Kluyveromyces lactis: one gene and its partner. The protein of the gene in region 2 purifies or fractionates together with the protein of the main gene of each other region. This does not show direct contact. Links are inferred from orthologs where the notes say so. Each region holds a gene or a part of one and is shown on either strand. Other genes may lie near its edges.

Region 1 (2,756 bases), on a different chromosome or scaffold from region 2:
TACCAACTAATTAGTGTCGTTGTGCATGAAGGGCGATCTTTATCTAGCGGTCATTATATCGCACATTGTAAGCAACCAGATGGAAGTTGGGCCACATATGACGACGAATACATCAATAAAATTTCAGAAAAACAGCTTTTGAAAGAGCCAAACGCGTACTTCTTAGTGTACACTAGACTTACACCAAAATCGGTCCCACTTTCCTCTCAATCTTCCAATAAATCTACTGATCTAGGTATTCCGCAATTGCAAAGACCTCCATCTTCACACTCATCATCGCAGAACAACTCTAAACGTAAGAATAAGAAAAAAAACAAGAAGAGAAGGATTTCCCCATAAGTTTGAATAACCCTTTCCTTAAACTACCGGCTTACAATACACTTGCATCCTTGTTCATTCTTTCTTTGTAAACAGTCATACATGCATCTACCTCACACTGACTTCAGTTCATCTTTTTTCACTTCGGTTTCAGTTCATTTGGATCATCATATACATCTTCATCTATAGTAGTTGATATATTATTATAATTTTATCTTTTCATTATTCTATTTTATGTACACGAAATGAGGTCTACAAATGCTAATAAACCAGTTGGAATGAAACTCTCCATCGAGACCTTCACTATTTCACAAATCGATGCTTTGATTAGTGAAAAAAAAGTCAGTTTATGGAACTACCTTAATACCCATACTCTTAGCAACACCGATAATAGACTTTACGATTCCTTCAAGTTCCAGAGCAGCGTGTCTTCCATCGGTCTTCTTGATCTTGGCGATCTCATATATATGTTTTAACGACAGTTCACCACATACATTATCAGGGTTACTGATATTTGGTTGTCCGTGTCCCTTCTCAAGACTTAATGCCTTCAATAAAAGATATCCAGTAGGAGGGCTTTTCATTTCAAACGAAAATGTTCTATCTGGTTTGATATTGATGAGTACTGGAATCGGAGTACCCGGTTGGAAGTTTGCTGTTCTGGCATTGAACTCTTTACAGAAATCAATAGCTTTAATACCTTTAGACCCTAAAGCTGGACCAACTGGAGGAGAAGGCGCAGCTTGACCTGCTCCGACAATAAGTTTGACTATCACGTTCTTAAGAACCTTCGACATGGTCCTGTTTGGCGCTTCCTGGACTTACTGTTTCGATATTTTGTTCGAGGCAATTGATCGGATTGAATGCACATCTTACTTTAAGCCATCGATTTTTACCAGCTTATAATCTGGCATATCTCCAAGAATTTTTTAGGCCAAAGAAAATTTTGAAGTTATTACCCGCACATTGTTTTCCATTATACACTTTCTAATAAGCACAATTCATTGTCTGCTAAATAGAACCATATGCTGCGATGTGTACCGACTTCATGCCAAAGGTTGCTAACGTTATAAAGCATTAATTTTATGAGAATGCCAAGAATTGTTCTTAAATATTTTATACATTTGTGTACTTTTACAGGAGAGATAATTTATAACGATTGCACAACAATTAGAAGTCTATGTCGTCTCAGAAGAGTTACTCTTATTTGATAAAACATGCTGTAGAACATACCTCAGCCGGATTGCTAGTTTTACTCTCTCTCTTAATTTATTTTGCCTTTTTTTTCTTTTCAAGACCAGCAATGTGGGCTTCGCTTTGATCAACTTGGGTATGTTTGTGGTCCATTCCAGGGTGCACGACGTAGTTACCTTGGTTGTCTACTTCAACGGTGCACATGTCAATGGATTGAATCCAAGGGTCATTTAATACTTCTTCAATATTGGCTCTACAAGCAGGAGCCAAGTCTACCATCCTACCGATAATGTGGTGGGTCTCTTCCGGTAAGGAATGAAGTAGTCTTTGAGGACCAATATTCGTGTTGTTTGGATCAGATGGGTTGTTCGATTTAGATGTGCTCTCAGCTGGCTCATCAGATTGGACGGCATTGTCATAACTTGGCGGTTTAGGTGTTTTTGTGACTAAAGCACTCAAGGAATCGCAGTCTCTTCCCGAACAGAAGAATTTGAAGGAATTATCCTTTAACTTAGGTATCTTCCATGGGAATTTCTTTAATACCATACATGCAAACAAAATGGCAACGGACCATATATCAACAGGTCTTGGGTCATACTTGGTAAATATACAAACTTCGGGAGCCAAATATGGATCACTTCCAACAATGCCACTTGACTCGATTAAAGTTTTTGAGTGGGGGTAGGAGAAGACTTCTGCAGCACCGAAGTCAATCAACTTCACTATACCCTGGTTGTTTATTACACAGTTGTCCAACTTCATATCACGATGCGCCAGACCAATACTGTGTAAATATTCTACACCGGTCAAGATTTGCTTGAAACAACAACAGATTTCTTCATACGACATCTTATTACTCATGACGATGGCGAAAAGGTCATAATCACAATACTCCATGACTTGGAAGATCCTGTTGTTTTCGTAAACAATTTCAATAGTGGATATGATGTTTGGATGACGTAAAGTTGTACCAATACAGTATTCAGAAGTAATTTTCTTCACATAATCACGCTTACTTTCGTGTTCAAACTTTGGTCTGAATTCTTTTACAGCAAAGACTTGGTTATCACTGATCCTTTTCATTAATCTAACGGAACCACCGGCACCGGCACCCAAATTTTCCCCAGTTTTAAGGTAACGTTTACTGAATGGTAATGCAGGTACATGCGAAGCAGCGTACACAACGTCATTGGATCCCAATGATCCAGGCGCAAATCCTGCACTTGCACCGCTTGCATTTGAAA
Region 2 (2,588 bases):
CAGTAATTGAAGGAGCTCAGCAGATAAAGTGTCAAACCGGTTGGATCAAATGCAATGTCACAAACTGATTCCACATGGTCTGATAACCCAAATGATCTCGATTTACGATTGAAAACAGTGATAGATTCGGGTTCTAGGTCTTCAAGATCATAAATTCGAATTGTACTATCATCATGCAAAATAACGAAAGATAACCCATAAGTAGCCAGAGGATGCCATAATAGTTTTTTTATCCCTAGACTGGTATTGAAATGCTTTCTTAATCTAGATTGCTCATTCACTTCCATGACATAGAGCTCGCTGTTCGCATGAAATGCTACAAGGCCCCCCGACGGACTGATGACCATTTGTTCTGGAACGAATGGAAGCTCCACATTATAACTCCTGTATTGCGTTTCGTGGTCTGATTGCACTCTTAAGATGTTGTCCTGCCATAAATAAATAGTGTTGGAATTGTTGCAGACAAGACGGTCGGAAGGGTTCAGAGACACTTCCTGGAAGATTGCCTTCAAATCTTCTGTATTGAAGAGTAACATCCCACTATATTGGTTCAATATCCGGCAGTTAAAGTTATGGAAGAGAAGGTACCACAGTTAGATCGCCAGTTGATCTGTGTTACGTGTATTTCAAGAAGCGTGAGAGTAGTTCATCGTCGATATATTTTGAATATTTTGAACTTTAATAGTAAAAAAAAAAAAATACCTATAGCAGATCCAGTATTGCAGAAAAGGAAGTGTACGAAAGATATCAAAAAGTTATGTTAGATATGTGTCTTTATGTCATTTTTATATGTATATATATTTACAGGCGTGAATCATACTGTGGGTCCGTTAAATCTTTGCTAAGAAGTTATTTTGTTTGATGTTGGCACGGTTGGCTATCCTTAATTGTTTTTTTCTTAGCTTGATTGGATCAGCTGCTAGTTTTTCAGCTTGGACGTTGGCATCAAGCACTGTCCAGAGCCATTCAGGGTATTCGCTGTCTTCTAATGCCACGGGTTCCTTACCGGATTTCTTGATTTGTAAGTTCAATGGAGTGCCAGCTGGACATGATGACACGATCTTGGCAGCTTGGCCAGATGCCTCGCTTTTCACTTGGTTAAATAGCACGCGAGTCACTCTCAACATTTCTCTCTTTATATAATATGAAAAATAACCGATTTGTTATGGTGGGTATGTGGTTGCCGATACCAATTCGAACCTCAACAATAAGTTTTGGCAAGTTTGTCCTGCCTTGCGGCTATCAAAGTTCATGATCATTTACAGTCCAATTTGAATTTCTATGGTACAAAATGTTGATTTTATCGAAATTTTTCATTCAAAAACTAAGAATTCACAAAACGCCAAGCAGGGTAATGGCGAAATCCATGACGACATTATAGAGGGACCAGGCCGCGTAGTAGCATAGTTTCGGGCTAAACACGGACCAAATGAATAGGTGGTACCTTAGTGCAATGCACGCTATCATTAGACATGTTCCGGTGATATAGTAATGCTGCAAGCGTAGTGTCTTCTGTTTGTAGCTTTGAGGAATTAGTGAGAGAGCCCAGTAGATGGATGGTGCGTAGTTAGACAAGAACATTAATACACCAACAACGTATATGTTATAGTTGCTACTAACACCATTGTATGCATTAGTTAGATTGACAGTTGCAATGGAGTTCGTACCACCAAATTGGAAAAAAGTGAGGTTTTGTAGACATAATGAGAAAATTGGTGTGATGTCCGGTGTGACGCTAGTCAGTATTTCAAATATTAGAAACAATGGGATATTTGCAGATGAAGTTTGGAGCAACAAGACGAATTTTATAACACTCAGTAGTTTGTTTAACATATTGGTGCTTTTATTCAAGGCGTATTTCATGAAAAGAAGGATTATAATAGATACACCACATATTTGGAAGAAAATCCGAGCGATAGGCACTAAACATTGTGAAATATCTGATTCTGTAGCATTTTCATTAGCTAGATACATGGCGCATGATCTAAGTGCGAATGTGTATAGACCGCTTGGGACTTTATCCCCGTTAACAATAGCAAAGCATATTTTGTAAGTTATCGAGGACAAGGCCAAAAAGGACACGGAGAGTAATGATACCATTTTCTCTGATTCGTCTTTGTTTCTCAAAAATGGGAAACCCACGGACAAGAAAGTCACTACATTTAACCACCATAGGACTGATGTATGTGATTTTAAAAGAGTGTGTAGAACATTGTCGTATATATATTTTTGGCCACTATTGTTCCAACCACGAATCAGCCTTAATCCAGATAGCACAACCAGTTTTTTCCCGTTCGATATTTGCATCAGTAGAAGTACGGATATCGTGATCCACCACCATATTTGATGTTCTTCTTCAATAAAACTACTTGCAAACATGCTTATTCCTAATAGCACCGAAGTACCAACATGTTCAATATATTCCTGACTTAGTTGGAAATTCCATACCGTGACTATGAGCGTTCCAATTATCATGAGAGTAGTACCATAAGTTAAGAAAGTGTAATTGTAATTTGTAGCAGCCATTGCTAAAGAAGATTGAATTTCCCTCATCTCCTCCAACAGAGTTCCTGCACTTTTCTTCTCGA

What was found.
Region 1: the proteins of MRPL37 (region 2) and MRPL19 purify together in Saccharomyces cerevisiae (affinity purification with mass spectrometry, with the first as the bait; 3 studies listed by BioGRID). This does not show direct contact. The link is inferred for Kluyveromyces lactis from reciprocal best matches to the Saccharomyces cerevisiae genes MRPL37 and MRPL19.

Annotation. Positions count from the first base shown.
Region 1 is NC_006040.1:715,629-718,384, reverse strand, and holds MRPL19 (mitochondrial 54S ribosomal protein uL11m), read right to left. Parts: upstream 1,116-2,756; coding exon 666-1,115; downstream 1-665. Other genes in the region: ubiquitin-specific protease UBP10, read left to right, coding at 1-339; serine/threonine protein kinase NPR1, read right to left, coding at 1,588-2,756.
Region 2 is NC_006042.1:158,137-160,724, forward strand, and holds MRPL37 (mitochondrial 54S ribosomal protein mL54), read right to left. Parts: upstream 1,128-2,588; coding exon 831-1,127; downstream 1-830. Other genes in the region: linker nucleoporin NUP82, read right to left, coding at 1-536; mannose-ethanolamine phosphotransferase LAS21, read right to left, coding at 1,333-2,588.